Linked DNA regions of Cricetulus griseus. The protein of the gene in region 2 purifies or fractionates together with the protein of the main gene of each other region. This does not show direct contact. Links are inferred from orthologs where the notes say so. Each region holds a gene or a part of one and is shown on either strand. Other genes may lie near its edges. The genes, in order: Cep97 and Cep76.

Region 1 (7,733 bases), on a different chromosome or scaffold from region 2:
GTACAGTACTGACAAACTTAGGGCTTTGAGTATGCTAAGCATGTACTCCTAGCACTCAAGTATATCCCAAGTGTTAGTATTCAGGCATCTGTACTGGCCTTGGGGTTCTGACAGGATACATCCTCAGCTGCAGCCACTAATAGCACCACTTGTGCCTATTCACTATGTTCCCTTTTAAAAGGGCCCTGTCTACCTCCCATCCTGCTCTCTCTCTCTCTCCCTCTCTCTGTCTGTCTGATCCCCCCTCTCTTTTCTCTCTCTCTTCTTCCTCCCCTTTCCCCTTTTTATGATCCTTTTCCCTTATGAAAAAACCCCTTGGCTTGAACCCTGTCTCATGGCATCTTTCTCTCCAGTGCTGCTTTTCTTAAATTACAATACCAACCCCAACATTCTTGGATGAATAAGCTCTTTGCCCACAATATGAAGGAAAGATTAGATTAACACAATATTTCATCAACATATAATGTTCTCTTTAAATATAAATATTTACAGGAGTAGAAAGATGGCTTGGCACTTAAGAGCACTTGCTGTCCTTCCAGAGGATCAGAGTTCAGTTCCTAGCACCCAAGTAAGGTAGTCACAACCACGGATATATAACTCCAGCTTCAGGAAAATCTGATACCCTCTCTTCTGGCCTCCAATTGTACTCATATATATATGGCACATATTATACAGATATACACAAATACACATAAATAAAAAGTAAAATAAACAAGAGCACTGGTCTATAGCGCAGTTACAGGGCAGGCTCCAAAGCTACACAGAAAGACTCTGTCTGGAAAAAAAAACAACAACAAAAACAAAAACAAAAAAAATTTAAATATTTACAGAGTGAGCACGTGTGTGTGTGTGTGTGTGTGTGTGTGTGTGTGTGTGTGTGTGTGTGTGTGTTCAAGAATCACACTTGCAGACACACTTGAGCAACAGTACACATGCAAATGTCACCAGCATACTCTCAGAAGTCCGTTCTCTCCTTCTGCTTGTGGCACACACAGATCAAACTCGGGTCTCCAGGCCTCTGCCCAAGCACTCCCACCTACTGAGCCACCTTGCTGGCCCTGTTCCCACTACTTAATGATGCTTCTTTCTCTAGATCACTGGAAATGTAATACATGTATTCATCTTCAAAAACTAGCATATAAAACTTTAAGGCAACATTTACTACTCTCAAAGCATGGAGAATAACTTTTTGGTTTCATTTAGTAATAAATTAGTCTTATATAACCCATACCCACCTGTATTAACTGTTTGCATTTCTCTAGATTTTCCAGTTTAATAATCTGGTTTTTATCCAGAATCAATGTGTGAACATCAGCATCACAGGGCAGGTTGGGCCCTAGTTTCTGTAGTCCCTGCCCTGACCAGTTCACCACTGAGCCTTGAGAAGAGAAGACAACTTATTAGAAAGCAAAAATGACAGCTGAGAAAAAAATATATATATACACCAGAGCACAGTAAGCAGCAAGAGTTTAAAACTATAGCAACTCAGAGCTGGGATGATACATTTTTTTCCTCAAAATTTAGCTCAGAGGCAGAGCCCTTACCTAGCATGCAAGGCCCTGAGGTTCCCTTATTTTGTATCTAATAATAGTATTTTTAAAATTGGGCTTAAGTTTCTTTTTATGTTTGATTGTTTGTTTAGTCTTTCGAGATAGGGTTTCTCTGTGTAGCTTTGGAAACTGTCCTGGAACTCGCTCTGTAGACCAGGCTGGTTTAGAACTCACAGAGATCTGCCTACCTCTGCCTCCTGAGTGCTGGGATCAAAGGCATGCACCACCACTGCCTGGCTGGTCTTAAGTTTCTTTTTTGAGTTTTGTCTTTTTTTTTTTTTCCCATGGATATTATTTCCCTTTTGTTATCCTTCAATTTTTTTCTTTTTTTTGGATTGTTTTTCTTTTGCTGTTGTTTTATTTTGTGTTGAGACAGAGTCTGAAGCTGACCAGGCTAGCATAAACTATGCGCCTGACGCTGGATTTGAACTCCTGATATTTCCTCCATCTCCCAAGTACCGGGACTATAGCTATCACCATACAAGGCCCTAGAACTGATTTTTTATAGAGATCAAACTGTTTGTGGCCTAACTACAAGTATATCAAGTGCCTAAAGTAGTGTGTATGGTGGGGTCACATCATGCATGCCCAGGGAGGCCTGAAGAAAAAAGGCTGGGTGTCCTGCTTTGTCCCTTTTTTCATTCTCTTCACGAACACTCTCTCAATGAACCTGGAAGCCTAGAGCTAGACTGGAAGTCAGCAAGCCTCCATGGCATTACAGGCACGCATTGGGAGCTTTTTGGAGGGACAATAGGGATTTCAACTCCTGCCCTAGTGCTTTCATAGCAAGTACTATAACCCACTGAGCCATCTCTGTGGCCCTCACTTTGAGGCAGGGTCTCTTGCTGGCCTGGAACTCATCAAATAGGGTAGGCTGGTTGGCCAGCAAGCCCCAAGGATCTGCCTGTATCCATCTTTTTCTCAGCACGGACTAAGATTACAAGCTCTTGCTGCCAAAAGTTCCCTTGGGTTTGGAGGATTGAACCTGGGTCCACACACTCGCACAGCAAGGACTACACCAACTAAACTATCTCCCCAGTCACTTCTGAATATTTTGAAGATCAAAGTATAGTTAACTAAACTATAGAATAAAATGATTCTCTGATTTCTCAAGGTTGGTGTGAAGCCAAACAATTCACACACAGCCTCAGACCTGGCAGGCAATGCTCAATAAAGCACAGCAGCATGAATTCCAACTATAGCTGTGGTTAACCACTATGGACAAGTTTCCTTCTCTTTTTCTCCTTCATTTTTTCAGTTGGAAAGCTCCCCAAATTAAGGTGTTGCCAAGTTTGGTAACTGAGACCCTTTCTCCTAGAGGCTGGCTACCTCCTCACTGTGTCCTCCAATGTCTTTCCTCTATAGGTGCAAATCGCTGAGTTAACTTTCCTACTCTATGAATTGTGGATGACAATTAACCAGCCATAGTGGTGCATGCCTTTAATTCAGCACTTGGGAAGCAGAGAAACCTGGTCTATATAGTGAGTTCCAGGACAGCCAGAGAGATCCTGTCTTGAAAAAAAAAAAAAAGAAAAAAGAAAAAAGTCATACAGTGGTGGCGCAGGGCTTTAATCTCAGCACTCCAAGAGGCAGAATCATCTCTGTGAGTTCGAAGCTAGTCTAGTCTACAGATCCAGTTCCAGGATAGTCAGGGACTACACAAAGAAATCGTCTCAAACATAAAAGGGGACAGGGGATGAGGCTGAGCCACTTGTGGTAATACACATCTTTAATTTTAGCACTGGGGAGGCAAAGGCAGGAGGATTTCTGTGAGTTTTAGGCCAGTCACAACTACATAATGAGATCCTGTCTTGAGGGAAAAAAATGTGAGAATACAATATAAATATTTTCTACATGAAAACTTGAGATAATATAAGAAAAGTGCTCAAAATATCATCTGGCTTTTAAAAAGTGGCTCTGTGATGAGCACAGGGGTCCAGACCAGGCTTGTGAAACCCACAGAAACAGCTGACCTGAACATCAGGGAGCTCTTGGTCCCCAGTCTGATAGCTGGGATAGTGGGTTTCAGTGAGGAGACCTCAGAAATCTACGGGACCTCCTGTAGTAGATCAGTACTTATCCCTAGCATAAGAATGGACTTTGGGAGCCCATTCCACATAGAGGGATACTCCCTGAGCCAAGACACACGGGGATGGGCCTAGGGCCCTAACCCAAAGGATATGATAGACTCTGGTGACACCCTATGGAAGGCCTCACCCTCCCTGGGGAGCAGAAAGGATATGTGATAGGTAGGGTTTCAGTTGGGGGAGGGGTGGTAGGGGAGGAGGGGAGGGAGAGGGAACTGGGATTGACATGTAAAACAATCTTGTTTCTAATTCAAATTTTTAAAAATGCTGTAAAAAAAAATTGCTCTGTAAATACTAGAGGCTGCTCTCGTCTGTTGTCTTGGAGGGCTAGAGAGTTTTAGGAAAGGCAGCGACCATAGTGGGCGGGGCCAGAGTAACTGCCAATTTCAAATTTACCATCAGACTAGGATACCCTGGGAAATAAATTTTTCGGAACTCTCTTCTAGAAGGTTTCAAAGTTTTTTTCAGTTTTCTTAGCACGGGAGATGTCGTGAGCCGCTTCTTGAAAGATGAAAACTATGCTGTCGCAGAAAAGCGCACCCAGCGTTTGCACACAGTTCCGAAAGGTCGACACATCTTTTAGCCGAACTCCTCCCCTCAAAAATTCAGGGTCCCCAGGTTATGAGCCCCGACTCTATCCCTGTCTGCCCCAATCCAGCCAGCGGCTACCACGCCTCAGAGTGTAACCAAAACAAAAGCTCAGGTCCGGCGCCCCACGGAGGCATCTTCCAGCCACAGGCGCACCCCTCGCCTGCGCTCTGCTAAACAAAGACCAAACTCGACCCCGGGACCCGGCCTGCAGAATGACGGGGGAGCAACGGGTGTCCCGGTCACCCCCAGATTCTACCACGGGTACTGGCCACTTCCAAGGAAGAGTTCAGGCAGACTGTGATGCGGTGGTATCAGATAAGATGCTTCCTGAACGTTCTCGGAACCGATGGGGGAGGGGACAGAGGAAAGAAAGAGACTCTGCCAATTTCCCGTGGGCACTCGGAACTCAAAGTAAACGTCCCAGAAAGGTCGCCGCAGTCCGGAGCCCACTGCCCAGTCAGACTAGGGAGAGCGCGGGACGGGGGCGCCGGGCACCGCGAAGGCTCCTGGGGGCTGAAGTCCCTCATCCAGCCGCCTTCACCGCATGCTGCCAAACCGGACCTGAGAGCGGGACTACAACTCCCAGTAGGTAATGCGCCTCCGCGCTGCCTACAGCCCCGTATCAAAAGAACTGGTCCAAAACTGCACCTCGAAACCCAGGCTTCCTCTTTACACTAAGCAACTATTTAATATGATTTAGTGAAGTAAACTTTGGAGTTCAGGGATGGGAATCGTCCTACCTTCTCCCGGAGCCAGAGCCCCGTCGGCTCGCGCTACCGCCATAGTTGCTGCTTGCTAATGACACCAGCAACCGTCCTCAGCCGTTCTGTAGACTATGTAGTCAGAGGTGGGAAACTGCAAACTACAACTCCCAGGATGCACAGCACTCAGTCGGCCCAATCGGCTGCCTGATGGGAATCACAGGCTAGAAAGTGAGTGTAGTTTAGAAAAAAAAAAAAAAGAGCTTAGGAGACCTTGATAGGTGAGCAAGCTGCATTGTTAGATGAATCTTTTCACTCCAGGGCCAGGTGTTTGAGAAATCTGACACTTTTACCACCTGGCACATTATAAGGATGTTATTTAAAGTAAACAATTTGAGAGCTCTTTGCTAGAAGTCTCTATGACAGCTACCCATTTTGGCAATTCTGAGTTAAGTTTAAAAGATTTGAGATTCGCTATAGGAATGACTAAATATTTTGAGACAGTCAAAATGGACACATTGTATTTGAAATTTCACCTAACTAAATGGTTTTAAAGCTTCAGAAACAGTTGTTACACATTCAACAGAGCTTTTGACTAAGGACTATATTTGATACGTAAGTGCACAGAACTTTTTCTTGAGTGTTCAAAAGTAGTCTAAAATAGCTTCCAAAGTTAAGAATACTTACTTTGCCCAGTTAGAAGGGCACAAGCTTATCCTGTTTTGATTTAACTATGAACTCAGTATGATAGGTAGTGGAAATTACAATATTTGGGAAAGTTAAGCTAGGATTTAAAAGGTAGCTCCGTAGCTCAAAGGGAGCTCTCCCTTTTTTCACCAGCTTGTCTACACACTGACTGCCAGGCTTGCCAAAAGGGCACTGTACAAAGTCTGGGCATTTCTGTTGAGGAAAATCCAGTAACTCAGGCTTCCAGCACTTCTGGTTCATGATTCTAAAAGCATTTTCTCTTCCCTGTATTCCTTTTTCGTTGACATCATTGCCCTTAAAGAACTTTTCTGTTTCCCATTGGTTCAGTCTAAAGATAATTTAATTCTGAAGAAAGAATAAGGATTCCCCTTCTTTTTAACCAAGAGACCCTTTTCTTGGAAAACAGTCTTATTACTTTACATGTATAAATACAAAGCAAGCCAGGCATGGTAGCCCAAACCTTTCATCCCAGCACTGGCAGGCGAGGGGGAGGGCGACAGGGGCAGGCAAATCTGTGAGTTGAAGGTCAGCTTGATCTACTTGGTGAGTTTCAGGGCAGCCAGAGCTACATGACAGAGAAACTCTAGCTCAAAAATGAATTGGCATCTCAGGCAGCTGTGAGCTACCTACCATGTGGGTGCTGGGAACCCAAACCCAATCCTCTTCAAGAGCAAGTAATCTTAATCACCAAGTCATCTCTCTATCCCTACAGATTTTCTTGTTTTTTAAGTAATTTATTTTTTTATGTGCATTGTTGTTTTGCCTACAGTTTTGTCTGATCTTGGAGTTACAGACAGTTGTGAGCTGCCATGTGGGTGCTGAGAGTTGAACTCGGGTCCTCTGGAAGAACAGTCAATGCTCTTAACTGCTGAGCCATCTCTCCAGCCCCAGATTTTCTTTTAATCTCTAGCAAAATCATGTGGCAGCTCTGACAGGACTTCCCAAAATTTCCAGTAACAGAAACAAGTCATCATTTTAGGGCAGGACACCAGCAAACACACACCCCAAAGTAACATTTCCTCTCTTGACCTTGGCCAGAGCCATGATGTTTTTGTTTCCTGTCCTGGATCAACAGTAGAGAAGCCAGGCCGGGAGGTGGCTAAACTCCGATCCTTAAACCCAGCACTCTGAGAGAGAGGCAGGCAGATCTCTGTGAGTTCGAGGCTAGCCTGGACTACAAAGTGAGTCCCATGACAGGCTCCAAAACTATACAGAGAAACCCTATCTCAAAATAAATAAATCTCACACACACACACACACACAAAAAAAAAAAAAAAAAAAAAAAAGTAGAGATGTCAGAAGAAAGTCCTGGTAGCTGGACTGGTTTCTTGTTCTCTCTTCCTTTAAATAAGCATATTCCTTCCTGACAGCATCCTACACCTAACAGTATGACCAAAGCTCCAGTTCAATTTATCCCTGCTGGTGAACGAGTCTGGAGTTGGACCTCTGGATTTGCATGGTGGGAATGGATGGGATCTATTCCCCGATTTCATCTCATCTCTTAAATTATTTTAGTATTGGGGGGGGTTGTTACAGTTGTCTTAGGAGACATCGAAGATGCCAGGGCTTTGTTGAGACCCTTTGGAAGAAAAACATTTCATTTTGGCAAAAAGAATGGAATACCTCTGCTCCTGATTGGAGATCTGGCACTCTACTCCAAAGAGTAGAACATTGCATACTGTTTATAGTTGCTTCCCTTCTTTCTTTCAAATGCTAATAAAATTGTCCTCAAACTTCCAATTCTGAGTAAAGAAGACCAAAACAAAGAACCCCCCACTAATATTATCAAGGAAACTTCCCTTCATAATCAACTAGCCCAGTTTACTTTTGAAAATACATTTTATTTATTTTGGTGTGGTGTGTGTGCGTGTGTGTGTGTGTGTGTGTGTGTGTGTGTGTGTGTGTCTGTCTGTCTGTCTGTCTGTCTGTGAAGGCCAGAAGAGGACATCCAATGTGGTTGTGAGCCACCAATATAGGTTGTGAGCCAAACTCGGGTCCTCTACAAGTGTTTTATTTTTGTCATTTTAGGGATCCCCACTTTACTTCTGACAACTCTGGGCTCTGAGGATTGTGGAGACTATAGTTCTAGGAGAGAG
Region 2 (7,251 bases):
AGCTGGCACGGTGGTACATGCCAATAATCCTAGCATGAGGCAGGCCAACTGTTCTGTAGAGGGAACTCAAGGACATCCCAAAATACACTGTGAGATTCTGGCCATAACCAACAAAACAAACAAAAAACCCATAACCCACCCCCTCCAAGAACCAGTGTGGTGACGACGGTGATGTGCTGTACTCTAGGACATACCAGAAAGAAGCTTATGCATACACCTATTCATATGTTTAAAAGAATCCTGCTTTTCTTTATAACCTTATATTTAACAACAACAACAACAAAATGTTGAACCTCCAGAATTTCCATTCATTTTGCAGACAAAAAACATTCTTTGGAGCTGGAGAGATGGTTCAGAGTAAAAGCACACTTCCAGAGGTCCTGAGTTCAATTCCCAGCAACCCAATGGTGGCTCACAGCTATCTATAATGAGATCTGATGCCCTCTTCTGGCATGTAGGCATACATGCAGGCAGAACACTGTATACATAATAAATAAATAAATCTTAAAAAAAAAAAAAATTCCTCAGGATAAGAAAGACTGACTTTGAAGAACTATGGTGGCATTATTCTTCCAGCTATTCCCTAAGCCAACTTACCACTGAAATTCTGATGAAAGCCTGTTTTACAAGTCTCCCTCCTGTAAAGCCCTTTTGACTGATATAAAATAAATTTGCCAACAAACAGTATTTATAAAAAGGTGAAAGTGACATTAATCATCATACCTACACCCATAAGTTCCACAGTCAGATTGGTCACTCCATTTTCTGAGCCCAAAACTGATCTCCATTCCAGAAAATAGGATGCCACTAAAGTAGTCTCACCAAATATGTCTATTTTGATCAGCACCATGTGAATTGGATCACTTATGGATAACATTGTTGTTGAATCAGCCATTCTAGTCCCATCACCTAACAACACAAACCGAAGAAAAAACACACTATATTACGTATTACTTAGTAACACAGAATCATTTTACAAGCTGAGGATATAGCTAAGTGGTAGTGACTGCCTAGCATGCCCGAGGCCTTGGATTCCATACCCAGCACCACACGCACATATGTGTACATATAAGAGAACTGGGGTGTATACACACACACACACACACACACACACACACACACACACACACACACACACTTTTATTGAAAAGTATTCTAAATAAGCTTACATATGATGGAAATAATTTAGTAAGGTCTCTCAAAGTATGCCAGAATCTGGGGGAAGAATATCACCCCATTCTATGACTGACAACTGCCAGGACTAGCAGAATAAGATGAATTATTTAGAAGTTACTTAGTTATGTTACTTACAGTAGTCAGTACTTTCTGATCCATAAAAAGTCTAATCTTCAAAAGAACTTATATTATGTACTATTACAAAAGAAAAGGCCATCAGCTAAATGAGTTAGCACACACCTTAAATCCAAGCACTCTGGAAGTAGAGGAGGGAGGGTCTGTGAGTGCAAGGCTAGTCAGAGCTACATAGTGAGACCCACCTCAAAACTCCACATACACACCAAAAAGAGAAACCTAAAAATCCAGGGTGCTAGACAGATGGCTCAGTTGCTAAGAGCACTTGTTCTTGTAGAGGATATGCATTCAATTCCCAGCACCATCATGGCAGCTCACAACCCTCTGTAACTCCAGTTCCAGGGGATCTCATACCCTCTCCAAGCATCTGTGGACACTGCACACTGTGCACAAACACACATACATACATGCAGGAACAATGCCCATACACATAATATTTAAAAAAAACACTATGTAAATATTAATCCTCAAATTACATTCATTCTTCAACTCCAGAAATTACCAAAGTATTTTTGGTTTTTCAATACAGAGTTTCTCTGTGTAGTCCTGGCTGTCCTTGGAACTCAGGGATCTACCTGCCTCTGCCTTCCAAAGGCTGGGATTAATGACATGTACCACCATACTGGCCTCCCACCACGAAGGCCTCCATACAAAAAAAGTTAAAGGTCTACAGGGTGAGTTCTAGAACAGAGAAAAACTGTCCTGAAAAAAAAAAAAATCCCCAAAAACAAAAACCCAAACAAAAAACATTTTTATAGGGAGAAAAATAAAATTACAAAGGACTAGGGTGCAGCTCAGTTTGTAGAGTGCTTGTGTATTATGGACAAGGCCTTGGGTGTGACCTCAGCATCACATAAACCATGTATGTTGGCACACACCTAAAACTCAAGCACTAGTGGGTGTACGCAGAAGAGGCAGAAGAGTCAGAAGCTTAAGGCCACCCTCAGCTATACGCTGAGTTCAAGGACAGTCTGTGCTATTTGAGACCCTAGCTCAATAAAGGAAAAAAATTAAAAACTTTAAGACATCTTTTAAAGGCACTAAATTATTTAGGCAGACTTCTTCGATTCTGCTTGTTTTATGGCTTTAGGTTGGTAAGTAAAATATATCGAATACACTGATACATTATATAAACTTTTTCTTTTTTCCTTACGTTTATTTCACGTGCACTGGTGTTTTTGCCTGCATGTATATCTGTATGAAGGTGTCAGATCCCCTGGAATTGGAGTTACAGACAGTTGTGAGCTATCATGTGGATGCTGGGGATTGATGCTGGTCTTCTGGAAGAGCAGCCGGTGCTCTTAACCGCTGAGCCATCTCCACCGCCCCCCACATTATATAAACTTTGAGGTGTGTGTGTGTGTGTGTGTGTGTGTGTGTGTGTGTGTGTGTGTGTGTGTGTATTTTGTGTTTTGTGTTGTTGAGACATGGCCTCCCTATGTAGCCCAGGCTGGCCTCCAACTTGAAATCCTCCGGCGTTAGCTCATCCCTCCTGCTTAAATCTCCCAAGTGATAGAATTATAAGCATGAACCACCACAACCAGATTCAAACTTGGACTGTTACATTACAAAACCAGGTGTGGTGGCATGTACTTGTAATTCCAGTACTTGAAGGTACAAAAGACTGTATACATGATATATATAAACAATTGACTAAAAAAAAAAGAAAGAAAGAAAACAATTAACATAGCAAAAAATAAGAGAAAATTAGTAAAGCAAGAAGTAGGTAAGGGGGGCTGGAGAGATGGTTCAGAGGTTAAGAGCACTGACTGCTCTTCCAGAGTTCCTGAGTTCAATTCCCAGCAACCACATAGTGGCTCACAACTATCCCTTATGAGATCTGGTGCCCTCTTCTGGTGTGCAGATATACATGGAAGCAGAATGTTATATACATGATAAATAAATAAATAAATCTTTAAAAAAATTAAAATAAAAAAAAGAAGTGGGTAAGAACTCATTTAAATAAAAAATAGCACTGGAGAAGAAAACTAGAGATACTCATTTACTGTAATCAATCTCTCTCTTCCCCGACCCCACAAGTTCTCACTATGGAACTCAAGAGATCTGACTGCCTCTGTTCCCTGAGTGCTGGAATTAGAAGCTGAGCCACTAGGCCGGGTTTATAATCTCTATCGCAGAAGCTGTGGCGGTTGTTCTTCAATAAAAACCAAACAAACTTAATTAGGTATCATTACATATTCTTACCTGAACTTTCTCTGTGAACTTCAAGCAAAAAGCCGTCATGGAAATCTGGTTCACAAGCACATGGAACAGGTTTTGAGCGAAAACGTTGATTCCGATAATGTAAACATAAAGTAAAAGTTGAACAAACTTGTCCTGGTAAAGGCTCAGGTTCTTGCAGATGTTCCAAGAAAGCTTTTCCACCCAAAACCTGAAGGTAAAGATACCTTCGTGTTGGATCAATATTAGCTGCAAAGTGTAGCAACATATGAGGAAACTGCCAAATAACTGATTAAATGTGATCAAGACATTAGAAACGACTTGATAGAAATACTTTGACTAAAATAAACAAATAAATAAATAGATGAATCACCCAATTTACTATGTTGCAGAATCATCTGTGTTATGGCAAGGAGAGAGCTATGATATGATATTCTTTAGTGAATTCACAGTCTCACTATGTTTGAGAGAATCAATGCAAAGGTTAGGTGTAACTTTGATTTTTAGCTGTTTGTAAAGCATATTATCACCTCCACAAGCCAACTCAGATCATTATCAACTTAGTAACTATATTTATCTAATTATTTTACTATATTAAAATAGCAAGCACATACAGTTTTCTTTCTTTGTTTTTAGGACAGGGTCTCTCTGTGTATTCCTGGCTGTTCTGGAACACAATATGTAGACCAGACTGACCTTGAACTCTGCCTCCCAAGTACTGGGATTAAAGGTGTTGTACCACCAGTTTTTATAAAATGTATCTATCATTAAGACATAAGAAAACAATGCTCCCGGGCTGGAGAGATGACTCAGCGGTTAAGAGCACTGACTGTTCTTCCAGAGGTCCTAAGTTCAATTCCCAGCAACCACATGGTGGCTCACAACCGCCTTGAATGAGATCTGGTGCCGCCTGCCTGCATGCAGGCAGAAGACTGTATACATAATAAATAAATAAAAGAAAATAAAAGAAAAAGAAAACAATGCTCCCAATTTTGGCCCAACAGTACTATATAGTATATCATATATTTCACGCAAAACTGCATCTAAGTTTTAGGTTAACTAATGACAAATTTTAAGTACTTCATTTTGAAAAGAATTTCTATCAAATGCCAAACACTATGACATGTCCATTACCAATCACAACCAAGTTTATGTTAAAAATATATATGTATATACATACTTTTTTTTAATGTTGACTGCTTATCAAAAGCAACAATTTGCTTTGGAGAAGGGAGTTCTTGATCAACACTGTCCTAGAAAAGTAGGGAAAAATACAAATTAGAAAATAAAAATTCAGCCTGGGGGTGATGGTGGCCCACACCTTTAATCCCAGCACTCAGTAGGCAGAGGCAGGGGGATCTCTGTGAGTTCGAGACCAGCCTGGTCTACAAGAGGTAGTTCCAGGACAGCCTCCAAAGCCACAGAGAAACCCTGCCTGGGAGGAGGGGGGAAAGAGAAAAATTCTAGGACTTGAGAAATGGCTCAGCCGTTAAGAGCACAGACTGTTCTTCCAGAGGTCCTGAGTTCAATTCCCAACAACCACATGGTGGCTCACAACCACCTTGAATGAGATCTGGTGCCCTCTGCTGGCATGCAGGCAGAAGACCATATACAAAATAAATAAATAAAATCTTAAAAAAAAAAAGGCTTTATTTTCCTAGCCTAATTAAAATGAAAATACATAGCTTCATGAGAGATGGAACTCGTAAAAGTCTAATATGAAGGGATTCAACTGTTTTTAATTCTTGCCATCCACAATTTTTTTTTAAAAAGTTTTTGTTGTTGTTGAGACGAGTTTTTCTATATAGCCCTGGCCGTCCTGGAGGTTGCTATGCAGACCAGACTGGCCTCCAACTCATAGAGATCTGTCTGTCCACCTCCCAAATCCTGAAACTAAAGGTGTGCACCACCAAGCCTGGCCTTAAAAGCAAACCTATACCTTAAACATTGCTAAACTTCCTTTAAACCCTATATAACATTTGGCTTCTGGGCATAGTGGCATGTGCCTTTCTTTACTCCCCAAACTAAAGAGGTAGAGATAGGCAGATCTCTGTGAGTTCAATGCCAGCCTTGTCTACATAGTGGGTTCCAGGACAGTCAGAACTATATAATGAGACCCTATCTCAAAAACAACAACAAAACATTCCACCATGAACTGATTTTTAAAAAGTAACATTCGGCCACCTAGTGGTGGCACATACCTTTAATGCCAGGACTTGAAAGGCAGAAGCAGGAGAATCTCTTGACATCAAAGCCAGCCTAGTCTACATCGAAAGCTCAAGGACAGTCAGAATTACAGAGCAACCCTGTCTTGAAAAACAAAACAAAAACATAAAAAGTAACATGCATGAAGCAGAGGCTGTTAATAGGTCAGTTTTTATAACAACTCTCAAAACCCAAAAGATAAAGCATATTAAAGTACTCAGGTCTCTAGGGTACTAGTCCATCCTATTTTTAATAGAGTATTCCTGTATTGAGGTCACAGTTCTTCATTATCACCTCATTTTCAATATAAGGCCTACTTACTGAGTGTACCAGGCAGGAGACAGCCCACTACTGACCTATTTGTACAGAGATCTGAGGGGTTTACGAAGTCAGTTCTTAAGGAATTTTCTAAGTGTATTTGCTTTTAAAAATAGGCCTAACTAAATGACAACTCTACAGAATAACAGGAGGGGTTTCTGACACTTCAGAGAAAGATGGTGTATATCTCCCATCTCATCAGCACTATCTGCTAACTCATGGTGGGGCCAACTTAAAACCACAGAAAAGGAGCCCGGCCAAGGTGGTGGCACATGCCTTTAAGCCCAGCACTCAGAAGGCAGACAGGTAGGATCAGGATCTCTGAGTTCAAGGCCCGTCTGACCTACAGAGCAAGTCAAAGAAACCCTGCCTGGAAAAAAAAAAAAAAAAAGCAACAACAACAAAATCGACCCAAGGAAAGGATATTATAGGAGCTATAGAGGCGACTCACTGGTTTAGAGCACCTATTACTCTTGCAGAGGACCTGGGTTCAATTCACAACACCATGATGGTGGTTCACTCCATTTACAAGGGATCAAAACCCTTCCAAACCAAGGGAACCAGCATGCAAGTGGTACACAAACTCTCATGCAGGCAAAACACAACCGTACACATAAAACAAGTCTGGTCTACAGAGCCAGGACACAGAGAAACCCTGTCTCGAAAAACAAAAAAACAAAACCCTAAGAAAAATGGCTATCACTAGACAGACTGAACTTACAGTGGATTTACAAAAGAGGATCCCTAAGTATGGACCCTATAAATTTAGACATAAGCAAATATTCACACTTTCAATTTGTTTACCTAGAAAATTACTCACAGTCACAAAATTAAGTTCTTTCATTACATCATCAATGATTCCTCGACGTCTAAGAGCTTTGATCAGATCTTCTGTTGATAAATGTTGTTGGTCAGGTGCCAATTCTTCTCGTATAGTCTCGGCAAGAATTTCTCTTATTCTGCCATGGACATCCATCTGTGGAGAAGACACACATTAAAATTTACAACATTATAAAGCAGTTAAATACCACTTCTAGAGTTTTTGGCTTCAAAAACTAACGGCAAATGCCAACGCCAATAAAAGCAAGTTTTTAAGACATGGAAATTTTTGAGCAAAATAGTAGAAGCAATCTGAACTGGTTGGTCATCAACTAGCTACCTTTATTGCTGGTTGCCCACAAATAATTCAACGAAAACAAATCTAAGAGAGTGAGTGGAGAGTAACCAAAAGAACAC

Evidence for each region.
Region 1: the proteins of Cep76 (region 2) and Cep97 purify together in Homo sapiens (co-immunoprecipitation; 4 studies listed by BioGRID and IntAct, with this or other methods). This does not show direct contact. The link is inferred for Cricetulus griseus from reciprocal best matches to the Homo sapiens genes CEP76 and CEP97.

What each region holds. Positions count from the first base shown.
Region 1 is NC_048597.1:36,121,742-36,129,474, reverse strand, and holds the start of Cep97 (centrosomal protein of 97 kDa), read right to left. Parts: upstream 5,123-7,733; 5' UTR 5,012-5,122; coding exon 4,969-5,011; intron 4,912-4,968; exon of another isoform or gene 4,034-4,911; intron 1,379-4,033; coding exon 1,236-1,378; intron 1-1,235. UniProt on the Homo sapiens protein: Acts as a key negative regulator of ciliogenesis in collaboration with CCP110 by capping the mother centriole thereby preventing cilia formation. Required for recruitment of CCP110 to the centrosome.
Region 2 is NC_048595.1:171,768,692-171,775,942, reverse strand, and holds part of Cep76 (centrosomal protein of 76 kDa), read right to left. Parts: intron 6,992-7,251; coding exon 6,836-6,991; intron 4,746-6,835; coding exon 4,673-4,745; intron 3,742-4,672; coding exon 3,517-3,741; intron 910-3,516; coding exon 724-909; intron 1-723. UniProt on the Homo sapiens protein: Centrosomal protein involved in regulation of centriole duplication. Required to limit centriole duplication to once per cell cycle by preventing centriole reduplication.